Stegostoma tigrinum: one gene and its partner. The protein of the gene in region 2 interacts with the protein of the main gene of each other region in a pairwise test. Links are inferred from orthologs where the notes say so. Each region holds a gene or a part of one and is shown on either strand. Other genes may lie near its edges.

Region 1 (8,452 bases), on a different chromosome or scaffold from region 2:
AAACTGAAAGCTAGTCCTATATAATGATGACCATGACAAATATCATCAATTGTTGTAAAACTTCCTCTGGATCAACTATCCCTTTTTGGAAAGGAAAACTGTCATCCTAACTTGGCATGTGACCTACATGTGACTACAGGCCTACAGCTACAGAGTTGACTTTAACTACACGGTGGGACAGTGGTTAGCACTGCTTCTTCACAGCGCCAGGGACCCGGGTTCAATTCCACCCTGGGGCAACTGTCTGTGTGGAGTTTGCACATTCTCCCCATGTTGCGTGGGTTTCCTTTGGGTGCTCTGGTTTCTTCCCACAGTGCAAAAATGCGCAGGCTAGGTGGATTGGCCATGCTAAAATTGCCTGTAGTGTTCAGGGATGTGTAGATTAGGTAGTTTTATAGGGGGGTGGGCATGAACTTGTTAGGCCGAAGGGCCTATTTCCACGCTGTAGGGATTCTATTCTATCCTCTTCAATAACCTTGCAAACCACTCAAATCAAGGATCAAGGATGGGCAACACTGTCCACAGGGTGCTATTGAATTGGCATCAACCGCAGCAACAAGAGATGTTGTTGCACGCTAGCATTTATACAGATCCTAAAGGTCAAAAAGCTCAAACTAGGGATATTCAACAGTACAGACAGCAGAAATATTGCTTCAGAGATAGTAGGAACTGCAGATGCTGGAGAATCTGAAGGGTCTAGGTCCAAAACGTCAGCTTTCCTGCTCCTATGATGCTGCTTGGCCTGCATGTTCATCCAGCTATACACCTTGTTATCTCTTAGAGCAGAAATATTGAACTGCTTCTGAACATTAATCATAACATAGTTAGGGCAGTTGAAAGAAATACTTTTTGTCAATCATTCTTGAAAGATGTTCCCTGGCTCAAAATGCCAATGAGCCACCTGCTGTGATCCTAAATCACAGGGCAGCTTTTAAGACGTTGATAGTGGTTGCACACATGTCAACCATTGCTTCTTTTAGCGAAGACCCACTTAATTAACTGCCACTGAGACATACTTACCAGACAGCAATGACCTTACCCGGGATCAAGGAGCAGGTTGGGAATTAGCAGCAAGAGCAAAATAGTAAGACTCAAGCACTGTGCCTTTGAATGAGGGGCCCACCCATGATTTCTGTCATATGTTCCATGCATGGTGAGCATCCTTTCCCTCTACTCAACAGTGGAAGTGGGATAAATGGCATTAGTTGCTCACTTTGGTCTCAGTTAACAGTGAAGGTGAGAAGATTATCCATTGGCTTAATCAGGGCAGAAGAGGGTAGCTGGCAGAATCCCACCAATTAATTTGGCACCCCGGCATCAAGTTTACCACAGGGAAGAGCATTAAATTCCTCCCACAAAGACCAGGTTCAGTCAAGGAAAACAGTTGGAATGCCTTACCCCACTTGAGCTGGCCTAGAGGAGGAAGTTAGAGTCCAGTGATGTCTCACTGTGAATCACTATCCATTGACACCCCCATGCACAGACTCCGCTATCAGTAGAAGGGTGGTTGAGATGGTTTTTCCAGAACGAACAGCTTGATGACAAATTTTAAATTGAACTTGCAACTTCAGTAGCGATGATGGTTGGGCTGGAGTTTGGTCAGCTGACTGCAAATGCAAAGTTGATGCAGTACAACGAACACAAATTTCCTTTCTCGGAGGAAGGGTCACCGGACCCGAAACGTTAACTGTTTTCTCCTCCACAGATGCTGCCAGACCTGCTGAGCTTTTCCAGCAACTTTTGTTTTTGTTAGTGATTTACAGCATCCGCAGTTCTCTTGGTTTTTATTGCCCCCCACTCGGAACCATTCCGAAGCACTAGCACCCCCCACCTCCCGCCGATGTGGTTGAAATTTCTGCCCGTTAACTGCCGAAACACGCACTTGACAGAATGCTTATTCGTCAAAATAGTCAAAACTGCTCGTGCTGAAGGAACTTCACCCTGGCAATGAATTAACATCCTTGAGAAAGAGTGGGCGAAAACTGTGGAGAAAGAGTGGGTAAAACGAACGAAACCGTTTAACATCAACAAAATGCCTAGACAACCGCCGACAACACAATAAATGACTTCATAGATTTAAAGCTAACTCGCCCACTCGCTGATGAAAGCCTGACAGTATCCCGCCAAAGATCCGACTGTTTACACAAAGCACCTTTATAATGACATAATCGACATTCACACAGCTATCCCTGAGCCAACCATATGGGCCAACCTTCTGACACAGGCCTGCTGAATGTTTATAAACCACTTTCTTGGTGCCAAATATAAATGGAAACAAAGTGACTGGGCCTCAAAGCTCTGAGGACCTGCGACATAAATCTGGCTGTTTAATACTTTTTCTCTTGTTGCTTCATCTTTCAAGAACATCTAGCAGCACTGTACATTGTTGTCCTACTTCACAATTTGAAATCCAGACAAATTATCTTCCACAGACACAGGAAACGGTCCTTTATTGTTTTAGTTGGGGCACATTAGCTGTCATTCGCCTCAAAAAGTGTGCACCTTCCAAAACAAAATCTCGATGCCGGTACAACATCGATCGAAAACTTCACGATTCTGTGGCATCTCTTGATTGTGACAACAGCGAGATTCATATAATAATATTACCTCCAAAACACGTTCCAGCAGTATTCTCAACAAAGCTACCCTCCCAGCTCAGTCTGTGCCATCGTAACTCAGGATTGCTATTCTAGCAGAGCCCATATCAACCTACCCTATATAGGCAGGGCCAACTGGTGGGGAAGGACACAGCCTGCATTGAACTGACTTCCTGACTCCTCTTTTGTGACTTGCCGACGACATATTTGGACCTTGTGCCGGTCGGGTTCTAAGAGGCTCTTGCAATACAAGAGACAGCAATTAACTGTTGATGTTTTAAAACTGCACCTTAAAAAAATTTCAGCGCTTGCAGGCAGGCAGTTTTTGGGAATCTCAACTTTGTGAAGACAAACACTTCAGCGCGCTCAGGCACAGGCTGCGGATCCCTTTAATAACATTCAGTAGCTAGACGGGGAAAATAGCACCTGCAAGCCGAACTCCAGTAAACTCCTACCTGCTTAGTCTTCATCTTCAGTGAAAGCGATCGTCCCAACCTGTTACAGTCACACGCTCGCCGCAAACAGGACTGTAACAAACATTTGCAACTTTCAGCGAAACTCGGTCTCCGAGACTCAACCCCACCCCACACGCCCAGACCGCTGTCTGAATGGAGGATTGTGGCCCACTCGGCGTGTCGATTGGTTTGCTAAGACGTCCATCATTCCGTATTAAATGGGCCCCGCCATCTTTGTGAAGGGCAAAATAGAAAAATGTCAAACTGTGCAGAAAGCTGACTTTGCATTGGATTAATACCTTTTGAGTACTTTTGGCAGATGAAAGTAAACCATGAGCTCTATTTGTGTAAAAGCACAGTTTGCAACGCCAGTAAAAGTGACCGACCATTACTGTACCTTCTAAATTGTTTTGCAGTTTAGCAAGTAAGGGATATGTACAATTTCTAACCAATTTGCTTATCTTCTAGCATACTCGAACTATATGGCACATATTGCTTACACAATTTATATCAAAGTCAAGAACTGTTTCATTAAATTGACCACAATATATGTCGAACAACTCTGATGAATTTTCACGCGCGCGCACAGTAACAAACAGAAATACGGTTCAAATTGCCGCACAAAATGTACCTTATTCCAGGTACTATCAGCAGTGTATCTGTCGACAATTGTTCTTATATTCCCGGAAAAATGACCAAAAATGCCATTTTGAGCACTTTTTAAGATTATAATTGTCACTGATGAATGGCATTACCTATACACAATAACATCTGGAGCTCAAGGGGCGTTCTTAAATCCTTTGTATGTTCTGCAGATTGTCAGGCACAACAATGAATTCAACCGTTTCAAATTGTAACGTCTCTAATCACGTTCATTTTTCTTTGCTGATTTGAGGTTTTTACATTTGATTTGCCTACCCGCTCTTGGTTTTGCTTTTGAGCAGCGACTGTTCATCATTCTGTCGTTCCCAAAACCTCTTGACACATCTTTTGTTTCTTTACTTGTTCCACTATCACTTCTTTGGCTTCTGACTTGAGTCGTTTATCTTTCTTTCCCTCCATCTGACCACAAACATTCCCTTATGTGCTTTTTCTCACCATCACCCCTTCAATTTGCTTCAAACTTATCCCATCTCCCACTTTTTTCTTGTACAGATGAAAGATTATTAACCCGAAACATTAACTGCTTCTTTGTCGAGATGTGCTGCCTGACTTACTGAGTATTTCCACTTTTTTTTGTTTCTATTTCAGATTTCCATATTCTCTGTGCTTTAGAAAAATCGAACTATCGAAAAATTCACTACTTTGGATATTCGGTAAATTGCAAAGTAACTTTTGTGGGGCTAAGACTTATATTATTTTTAAAACTGAAATTTATTACAGCCGTGTGTTTACTCAGTGGATTGCCATTATTTTAGAACTAATTCTCTTTCACTAAATTATCTGACCTATAAATAATATTTAGATTCTTTCCCAGGTAGGGCTGAATGGCAGCTTTATTTTTTAGTGTCTATTTATCCTTAAGTAGAGGGCAGCTTGGTGATATTGCAATTTTTTTCAAGGTTGTGCTCTTTCAGGTCATAGGGTCAGAGTCATACAGCACAAAAACAGACACTTTGGTCCAACTCGTCTATGCTGACCATAATCCCAATCTAAAATGATCCCACCTGCCTGTGCTTGGCTCATATCCCTCCAAACACTTCTTATTTATGTACTTATCTAAATGTCTTTTAAACAATGCAAACAAACCACACCCACCACTCCCTCTGAAAGTTCACTCCACACATGAACCACTTTCTGTGTAAAAAAGTTGCCCATCATGTCTTTATAAAATCTTTCTCCTCTCACCTTAACAATATGGCATCTCGTCTTGAAATCACCCAACCTAGGGAAAAGACACCTATCCATGCCCCTCATGATTTTTTAATCACCCCCAAATTCTTACACTCCAGTGAAAAAAGACCCAGTCCATCCAGCCTATTTTTATAACTCAAAGACTCTACTCCAGCAACATCCTGGTAATTTTTTTTCTGAACCATCTGCAGTTTAATAATATCCTTCCAAAAACATAACTGGACACAATACTTCAGAAGAGGCTTCATCAACTTCCTGTACATCTCAACATGATGTCCCAACTCCTATACTTTGTCTTTGTAAGATAATTTTATTAGCCACTTTTCACTGAAGCGCTATATTTAGGACATTCTTTATTGCAGGAATAAACCATTACTGATCAAACACTATGAGGTTAATTTCAGAATATGATATCAAAGCACTAACATATAACCTCACCAAGCAACTAGATTAACACTGAATTGATACTGATAATATAAGCAATCACTCAGTGTCAGTGCTGTGGTGGATACTACTGAGATGGTAATTGCTTAGTTGTGTGCCTTACAAAGAATATGTATTATCAATCAAGAGTATAGAAATGTATTGAGGAACCTCAGAGTGGAACATGAAACTGTAAAATATGTTCTGACATTTCAAATACAAACTGGTTTACCATCAGCCTGTATACCTTATGTGAACTATATGTTGTATATATTAAGATTATTACAATTATATAAAGTGAAACTCATTGTATTGCGACAAGGTGAATTTTCTCGCAAACTGTAATTTGGAGCCATGTGTTTTGTAATTTTTTCACAAATTTTAAGAATAAAATACATAATTTTGGAAACAGAACGTGATTATTGTCTGGTGTTATCTGACTTGTTTTGAACAACTGCAGATAGGCTTTTAAACATTTCTGATTTTAATTGACTCACACTACGATCAGTGGCCCTGCCTTCAACTACTAAGACCCTAAATTGTGTATCTCCCTCCCTAAGTCTTTCTGCCTATATATTGCTCTTGATTGTTTAAAGACAATACTTAAGGCCTCCCTGTTTGACCAAACATCTGATTTTGTTACTGGTTCAGTGTCAATTTTTGATTTCACAGTAGTTGCAAATTGCCTTGGGACATTTTGTTACATGAAAAGCATGAAACAAATGCAAGTTGTTGTTGTTATAGAGGGTAGGGAAAATACCGAAGAGTGATAATTTGTGCTGAACCATGAGTGCTCTTTCTTAAGGAAATCTTATTTAATGATGTATTGTGTGAGGATCTTTAGGTCATAATCAAGCAGCTAGTTCTGTCAACAACATTCACGAACACTCTCATCCCTCTGGGAATTCTACTGGGAAGTGATTAAGATTAAAGATAAGACATATTTCTTTAGTAATTTGGAATTTGTGAGCAGATGTCTGGTACTATTACGTTCATATCCAGTGTTTACGATTCAGCAGAAAGCCATTGGCATTTTCTTACTGCATTACATGCAGTATGTAATAAATATTCAGATTGATTATATAAAATAGAGGCTCTGAAACCAATTAGAAGACAGGCCTACAGTTATGATATCTTAGGTTTCCATCAGATATACTCTGCAATTCCAATGCCTATTTCCAGGTTTCCATGTTCAGAAAATTTATCTTGGTGCTCTGAAAGGGCCAGCAGTTCCAGCACAGCAGCTGTGATGGCAAAACCTAGAATTACAACCTGTTTGGAGAATTATAGACACAGATTTTCATCAGAATTTGTAAAATAACTTTGTCAGTCCTACTTAAGTTTGCAAAGAAATAAAACCAAGCACTGGGCCCATCTCTCATAATTACTGCATTGGCTATAAGGAGCTCTGGGATATTTGGTGGTTATGTAAAATGCAAGATACTTACAGGTTTTGTTTATCTTTCCCTCCAGCTCACTAAAGAAAGAAGACAAAGTGAACTGTGGGAACTACTGAGGAGCCTCCCTCCTCTCCATCACCCAAATCATTGCTAAGCACCTTCTCTCAGTCTCAGAAGAAATCTTTCCTGAAAGCCAGCATGGCTTCCAACCAAACTGTGGACCTAGGCACATGATTTTCATTGCTTGGCAATACCAAGATAAATGTCAGAAACACCACCAACCACTCTACCTGGCCTTCATCAACCTGAGCAAGACTTTTGACTCAGGCAGGAACTTTTATGGAAGATCCTGTCAAAGTTTGGCTGTCTACTGTTACTCATTACCATCCTCTGTCTCCACTATGGCTAGATGAAGGGTCTGTTTCTATGCTACATGACTCGATATTGGCAATGGTCCTCATTGACAGCAAAGGATAGAATCCTTTGAGATGAAGATAATGATTGAGCAGGGATGTGTCATCACACCCGCCGTTTCCCACCTTCATTGCCAACATCCTTTATCTTGTCAAGAACAAATTTTCCAGTGGTGTGAACATTGTCCACAGCATGGATGGAAATCTTTTCAAACTCAACCAATTGAAATCCAAGAAGAAGCTGACACTGACCTCACTTGCGGAACTTGAGCATGCGGATGACAATGTCACCTCTGGTCTCTTGGAAGAGAATTTTCAAGCTTCACTTAATGCCTTCTCAGAAGCACACTGAAGAATTTGTCTCAGGCTCAACTTTAAGAAAGCTCAAATCCTTTACCAACCCATCCCAGGTCAAGTTCTGGTCCACCCCTCTATTAAGATCAACAGAGAAATCCTCCCAAATGTGGCACATTTCCGTACCTGAGAAGCTACCTCTCATCTAAGGCTGACAATGATGTAGAGATTCAACATTACATATAATCTGCAAGTGCTGCCTTCAGACAGCTAAGGGTGAGCGTCTTCAACAACTGTGACATCCATGTTGATAACAAGATCCTTGGGCATAAGGCAGTCATCCTTCCAACTCTTCTGTATAATAAAGTGTGAAGTTGGATGAACACAGCAGGCCAAGCAGCATCTCAGGAGCACAAAAGCTGATGTTTCGGGCCTAGACCCTTCATCAACTCTTCTATATGGTTTGAAACTTGGATTATGTATACGCGCCTACCTCAAGACCCTTGAGAAATACCAATGTTATTTGAGCTGGATTCTCCACATCAGTTGAGATGACAGGCGTACTAACATCAGCATCCTTGAAGCAGCTAACAGCAACAGCACTGAGGCCACGAGCATCCAAAATTGACTCGCCTGGGCTGGCCATATGCTTAGGATGCCTGAATTCTGACTACTAAAGCAAATCTTCTTTGCCCAATCAAGGAAGGCATTCGAATGTGAGGAGGACAAAGGAAGTGTTTCATAGGATCCACGAAGGCTTCCATCATGAAATGCAACATAGATATCAATTCATAGGAGACCCTCGTTCAGAAGAAACTGGCTTGGAGAAAGCTCCTGTACGAAAGGACACAATACTTTGAAAACACCTGGCAGCAATAGCAATTACAGAAAGGAACTGGAGAAAGGAACACCAACAATCTCAAGGTCAAGGACCAATTCCATCTTCTGGAAACACCTGCCAAATGTGTGCTCAGGATGTGGCTCTCAGATTGGGCTCATCAGTCATACAAGGTCCC
Region 2 (7,387 bases):
TGTCATGTTAAATTAATCTTATTTCTTACACTCCCAATATTTTAAAAAATAAATAAAATGCTTGAAACCACAACAGATTTGTTCCTGGTTGAGCCAATGTAATCATTCTACTCAAACTGACATGCGTTTTCAGAATGTGCTTAAACGTTGACTGATATGTTTAGCACAAGTACACCTTTAACTCAAGCTGAATTATAGAAAAGCAAGATACTGCAGATTCTGGAAAAACAAAAACTAAAGAGGTTATTCTATTGCAGTATTATCAATTCTGCACTCATCTGTAAAAATATTTGTAGAGAAGATTTTTTCAGTGTCAGAATTATAATAGTTTGCTCCTTAAAACCTCAATGCATTATGAAGCAGGGGTAAGAAATCACTGAAGCCAACGAACATGTTCATTCTTAGTTCTAGCTTATTTGAGGTACCAAATTATTACCTCACCCTACTAAATTCAAATCTTTCAAAATAACTCAGTTTAAAATGATTACAAGAGTTGAAAAACATGTAAATAAAAGTGGTCAGTTAGCTCAATTGGTTGAACAGTTGTTTTGTGATGCAGAGGGAGGCCAACAGCATGATGTCAATTGCCACACCAGCTGAGGTTTGCCATGAAGGGCACAGCTTCTCAACCTCACGAGCATAGTGACCCTCCAGTTTAGTCATAGCTCTCTAGTGGGACAGCAGCCCTATGGCCTGGTAGGACTACAGCAACTTTACCATTAAAGGAATTGTGAAGATGTCTTCAGGTCTGCCAAGGTGTTCAATTAAAAAAAAAAGTTGACCTTGGAGGAAGTATCATGGAGCCATGTACAACCACAATCAGCGATTTCCACAAAGGAGTGAAACTTAATTTGAGCAAATATGGATCCAAGAGCCAATTCCCAAAGATTAAGTGAGACAACAGTAATTTCCTTCAGCATCAAGATGGCATTTGATGCTGAGTGACCAAATGGCATTAAGGAATCCTAGCAATATTGAATCGAAAGAAAGCTCTTCGCTGGCTGGAGTCATACCAAGTACAAAAGGCTATGCTTGTGGTTATTACAGCGCAAGCACCTCAGTTCCAACTCACAGCTATTTGAAGTTAGGACCGACAATCTTCAACTGCAACACTGCCTCCAGTAAAATTTCAGAAATGTAAAGGCTCACTGATTGAACAGAGATTAGGAATAAACCATTTGGTTCTTTAAGCTTACTCTGACATTCAATAAGGTCAGGGCTGATCTGCTGTTGTCTCAACAACTTCCTGTCTTTTCCCTGTTGACTGCATCGTCCATTGAAAACCTAATTTGACCAGGTAATTTCAAAAACGTTTGAGAACATTTGTTGCTTGGGTTGTGGAAGTAATTGCAGTCTTGCGTGCTGAGCTGGTGTGTCTGAATGCACACGTTTCATCACCCTGCTAGGTAGCATTCAGTGAACCTCTGGTGAAATGCTGGTGTTCTGCGCACTTGTTCTTTACGTACCTCGGTTTGCTGTGGTGGTTGGCACCACTGACGGTTCTGTTTTTCCCATGGTTTGTTTCTCAGGTCCAGTTCAACGTGTTTGTTGAGGGAGTTCTGGTTGGATTGCCAGGCCTCCAGCAATTCTCTGGCACGTCTGTTTGTCCTCTTGACAATCAACAGCATTCCCATCAGAATTCCCACTGCTTCTAGAGGGTTAGTAGTGATTGAAAGTTGAATTGGATCAGCCACGTAAATATTGTGGCTACAAGCAAGCTAAGCTGTGAGCTTGCAGAATTGCACACAATTGGCATGGCAATGTCATTCGCAGCACTGACTTCCAATTCTGAAGAAAAATGGTGGGAATGCTGGCTACAAGTGCAGCTCAGATGGGAATTCAGCAGTGAATGACTGACCTCCCAACTTCCCAAGGCTACCACAGCTTAAAAAGTCACAACATCAGTCGTGTAACAGAATGTCACGCTGCACTTATTTAAATGGCACTCATCCAAACAAGATGGGAGGTCAATCCAATATAGTAGATAGAGCAACCTCCTTACTCCCTCCTTTACCTGCAGATGGACCATCTACAAAAGTAGTTCAACTCACCCAAGCTCCTTCTTCAAAAGTAGCTTACAACCAAAGTTCCACACACAGAAAAAGGGTCAGACTATTGGAACATCACATCCTCAATTTATTTCCAAGTCACACAATCCCAATTTAGAACAATATTTCCTTTCCTTTCCTTTATTACCTCTCAATTAACAGCCTAGAACTCATTTGCTAAAAGCTCTATCAGTGTACCAAGACAATAAGATCTACAGCAACTTAACACCTTTTCACATGAGCAATATTGGTTATGTTAGTGACATGTCCATCAGTGAACAAATATTAAAAAACAGTAGAGACAACAATTAGTGGTTACAGTTGTTACATGGCAGCAAAAGCCCAGTTGACAACTGTAAAGGAGGGGTTCCTGCACTGCAACTGGTAGACCTCTCATCTCAACAGAAAAGTTCAGGATTCACAATACCACTCCAGATAGTGGAGCAAACAATCTAAGATGGCATCAACAGAGTGCAACACTGTCAGAAATGCCAATTCAAATTAACATAAACACAGCACATCCATCTGCTAGCGGACAATCCTCTAGTGCTAGCCAAAAGAGGAAAGTTGTCAAATGCAATGCCCCCCTCATCTCTCTATGGTCATTCATTTCACTGTAGTACACGGGACCTGGTTACCATGTTAGACAATTACTTAATTTCAGAAGTTCCTTATTCACGGTAAAGTCATTTGAGGCATCACGAGTTGGCACAAATTTAAGGTGTAACAGCACTTAGGAAATCTGCTTATTTCTAATCGCTCAAGAAAACTGCGGGAGGTGTGGTGGGGGTTCAATGGAGGATGAAGTGCAAGGTATTATGTAGGGAGCAATAACATACATGGAGAAAAGTATGGCCTGGCCTGGACCTCCTCCCCAGCCTGCTTTTCCTTCAATGGAGCCGTTCCTGTAATGCGCCTGCGGATAGAAATGCAGGCAGAGGCTCACCAACTACCTCGAATCCACTTGGGCCTTAATCAGGGATTGCAGTTTTGAGTAACTGTGCATCAGTAACAGAGGAAGAGCGCTTGCAAGCCGCACCGAGAGTTCAATACCTCCTCCCCCACCGCCAGGGATTCACATCAGGGAACGAGCGGCCTGTGAAAGGAGGGAGATTGCGGAGCAGCAGGCAGCTCATGCTGTCTGTCTGCCGTTACAACGCTCGCCGGTTATTAATATTCATTCGTTCATTCATTCATTCATTCATTCGTGGGTGTCACAGCTCGGTAAATGGACACGTGTGTCTTTTATTTTACTTTCTACCTCAGTCGGTTGGTGCTCGCTGCTCTCCCGCTCTGCTCTCGGCCATTGCTTCTGTGGTCTCACTCCCGCGTTCCCGCTCGCTCACGCCAGCCGCCAATGCGCGAGCTCCGGCTTCAAATAACTGCCACTCACGCACGTGCTCCCGCCCCATGCCGCGCCCCGCCCCCTCCAACCTTTGATCCAATCGGAAGCCTCATCATCCACCCTCTTGTCAGTCACACTGCCGCCAGGCGCCCCTCCGGAACGTCCCTGCCCACATGGCCAGGGCACCTTCGCCTGATTCGACCCTCGTGTCCTAGGCTCCGCCCACCCGCTTTTACTGTTATTAGGCAGGTTCAGTCACTCATTGCATTCCCCGCAGATGTGATTTGTGACTCTGGTAGGGGGTGGTGAGCTGTACAAGCTCCGCACTGCACCGACCCTGTGATTGACGTTCCCGCCTCCCCAAGAAGCCCCGCCCCTCCTCTCCCGCATTTGCGCGAAGACAAATTTTCAAATCTGGTGCAACTTGAGGATGCAGTGCGGATGACTTAGTTTCGTTATACAGTCATAGAGCACTACAGCATGATAACAGGGTCTTCGGCTGTACTTGGTCCATGCTGACCATAGTGCCTGTCCAGATAGTTCGAATTGCCCGCATTTGGTCCATATCCCTCTAAACCTTTCCCATCCATAAAACTGCACAGCATAGTACTGGCCCTTTGGCCCATGATGTTGTCCTGAACTACTACCCTAATCCTAAAAGGTCTATCTAACCTCTATCCCAACTTATGCTATCATCCACATGCCTATCTAATAGCCATTTAAATGCTCTTAACAAGGCCAACTCCATTACCCTCTCCAGCAATGCATTCCACACCCCGACTGCTCTGAATGAAGCGCCTACCTCTGGCGTCTCCCCAATATCTACCTCCACTCACATTAAAACTATGCCCCCTCATAACAGCTACCTCCACCCTAGGAAAAAGTCTCTGGCTGTCTATTTTATCTCTGATCATTTTGTACACTTCTATCAAGTCAAAATCCATGCACCTAGCCACATGTTTTGTAAATGTTCCTATTGTACCTGCCTCAACCATTCACTCTGTGAAGAAGTTTCCTCAGTTCCCACTGCGAAAGTAAGCTGTTTAACTTTTTAATGAAAAAAAACAAAGCAAATTTTAAAAAAATCCCAAGGTAAATTGAGGGGTTGCATCATTTCATTAATAGTAATAACAAGTATTGTTAAAACTAGAGTCAACAGAGAAATAGAGCTTTGACCAAAATAAACAAAGAACTGCGGATGCTGGAAATCATAAACAAACGAAGGTTTGGCAGCATCTATGAAACCAGAAATTAAAGTTAACATTTCAGGGCCAATGACCCTTCTTCACAATCAGTTCTGCTTTTATTTTATATCACTGAAAAATGCCCTTCAGCCCATTAAGAACATAGAACAGTACAGCACAGAACAGGCCCTTCAGCCCACGATGTTGTGCCGACCATTGTGTCTAAGCATCCATCTGTTCGAATTTCATTTTTCCAGCACTTCCACCATTGCCTTGTAGATCATGTTTCAAGTTTGCATCCAAATTCTACTTAAATGTCTTCATGGATCCTGCCTCCACCACTCTTTCAAGCAGTGAGATCTGAATACCCACCACCCCCGTTGAAGAATTGTTTCCTGAAATCCCATCTAAACCCCCTGGTCCTTACCATACCTGGTTACTGGCTTGTCTATTAAAGAAAAAGGTTTCTCCCTATCAATAACCCTCATAATTTTGAACACTTCCATCAGATCATCCCTCCGCCTTTTCTGCTCTAAGGAAAAGCAAACCTAGCTGAATAGCCTGCCTTCATTGATGAATTGTTACAACTCAAGCAACATCTTGGTGAATCTCTTCCAAACCAGCGTTCCCTCTAATATTTTTTCCTTGGAGGTCTGTGCACATGACAACTACCGCCAAAAGCACTGATTGCCATGTTTGGCAATTCGGAGTTGCCATGCATGTGCACGTGCATGCATGAGCAACATAACTTAGAGGGAACATTGCTCTGCACCATGTCAAGTGCAATCACATCCTTCTTATTCTGTGGCAACCATAACTGTGCACAGTACTCCAAGTATGGCCTTAACACTACATACAGCTCCATCATAACCTCCTAAGTCCTTGTATTCAATGCCTCAACTAATGAAAGCACATATTCCATATGCCTCTTGACCAACGTCCAGCTGCGTCCAAGGATCTATAGATATGCACACAAAGGCCCATCTGATCTTCTATATTTCCCAGTCACCTACCACTCATCATGTACTTGTCAGTTCTTCTAAATTGTGGCATCTCACTTTTCTGGATTACGTTCTTTTTGCCACTTAACCAGCTCATCTATATCATCCTGTAGTCTAAGACATTCCTCCTTGCTATTTACCATCTGAGTCTGAAATTGAAATCTGACATATAAATAGAATAGTGGAAAAGTTTTAAGGTAAGTGCAAGTGACTGAGTGATAGGAAACAAGGCAGTGGTGAATGGTTATTGTCAGGCTGGAGGATGGTAGAAACTAGAGACAAAGTTGGAGGTCCTTAGGGGTCAGTTCTGAAATTACTGTTTTTCTTACACATGATGACCAAGACTTTTTGCAAGAATGCATTTTTGAGATGTGTAGATGACACAATATTTGGAAAATTTGAGGATAGTAATAGATATCAAGAACACATTAGCTGAAGGAAGGGCCAAGCATGAAGCAGATAACATTTAATGCAGTGGAATGGAACATAATATATTTCAGTAAGAAGAAAGAGAAACGTCAACAGAAACTAACAGATATAATTTTAAGGGAAGCACAGGAACAGGAACACAGAAAATATTTTGAGAATTCTAGACAAAGTAGATATAGAAAAATTTCTCCCATTGCAATGGGGTTTGGGAGCATTTGGGGTGAAGGTTAGATTCATTCTTGTTTGAGATGGCACTTGTAAAGTGCGATTGTTACTTGCCAATGTAAGCCCAAATCTGGATATTATATTATCTTGCTGCTTGTTGACATGGGTATCATAATTCTTTGAGAAGTCACTAAAAGAGCTAAATATTGTGCAATCACCAGTGAACATCCCTGCTTCTGAACTTATGATAGAGGAAAGTGATTGATAAGGCAGCTAAAGATGGTTGGGCCTAGGACAATATCCTGAGGAATTTCTGCAGAGATATCCTGGAGTCAAATTAACTCACCTCCAACAACCAGTTGGGGCTGGAATGGATAAGTGGGAAAGAATTTGCAGACAATAGTAAGAAAGAGTGGTAGAGTGCCTTTAATGTAGCAAAATTCTCAGAAAATACATCACTCTGGTGATCACTTTCCAGACATATTTTATGTGGAAAATGCCATTCACGATTTTTTCATAAAATTTGGGCTGATGCTAGTATTATAAAACTTTGGTATATGTGTTATATACCAGTATTACGCTGAATTTTAAGAAGTCCCGAAGTATTTAACAAAAATAATAATAATTTGTCTGCAATGAAGTAATTTCAAATGTTCTAATGTGTTACTGTAAGGTAGAATAACCCAATTTAATGATTCATGTTGCACAGCATGTGTCAAAGTAACAAGTTCCATCAACAAATTTGCCTTATAAAATCCCAGAAAATATTTTAATATCTACAGAAAATATTTTAATATCTACACTTTTCATTTTTATTGTTGACAAGTCATCATAATCTAAAAGAAATGCCACATCCTGTAAAGTAACCTGATTCAAATCACATTTCTTTGATAAAACTGTTGTAACATTTCACATGCAAATCTTTAAGTCAGACTTAAAATTTATTTAAAGAGATCTTCACATCCATTTCTAAGTAACGTGAAGACATGCTTTTCTTGGGAAGGGAAAATACCTTATGCCTTTAAACAACGAGTTAAATACAGATGCAATTTAACAGACATTAAGCTACACATTAAGGACTAAATGCCTTGCATTTATATTTCACCTTTCATAAAGACTGTTCAAAGGTACTTTAAAGTTAATGAAATATTACTTGAATAGGAACTACAGAATCCATTTTGTGCGCAGCAAGATCCTATGAGAAATAATGTAATC

The links. The genes of interacting proteins can lie anywhere in the genome.
Region 1: the proteins of pdik1l (region 2) and c28h1orf174 interact in binary tests that used the Homo sapiens proteins (3 or more experiments, as listed by UniProt). The two-hybrid records come from large-scale screens. The link is inferred for Stegostoma tigrinum from reciprocal best matches to the Homo sapiens genes PDIK1L and C1orf174.

What each region holds. Positions count from the first base shown.
Region 1 is NC_081381.1:42,840,071-42,848,522, reverse strand, and holds the start of c28h1orf174 (UPF0688 protein C1orf174 homolog), read right to left. Parts: upstream 3,209-8,452; 5' UTR 3,068-3,208; coding exon 3,053-3,067; intron 1-3,052.
Region 2 is NC_081377.1:29,406,560-29,413,946, forward strand, and holds the start of pdik1l (serine/threonine-protein kinase pdik1l), read right to left. Parts: upstream 3,417-7,387; 5' UTR 3,310-3,416; exon of another isoform or gene 3,303-3,309; intron 3,281-3,302; exon of another isoform or gene 2,888-3,280; intron 1-2,887.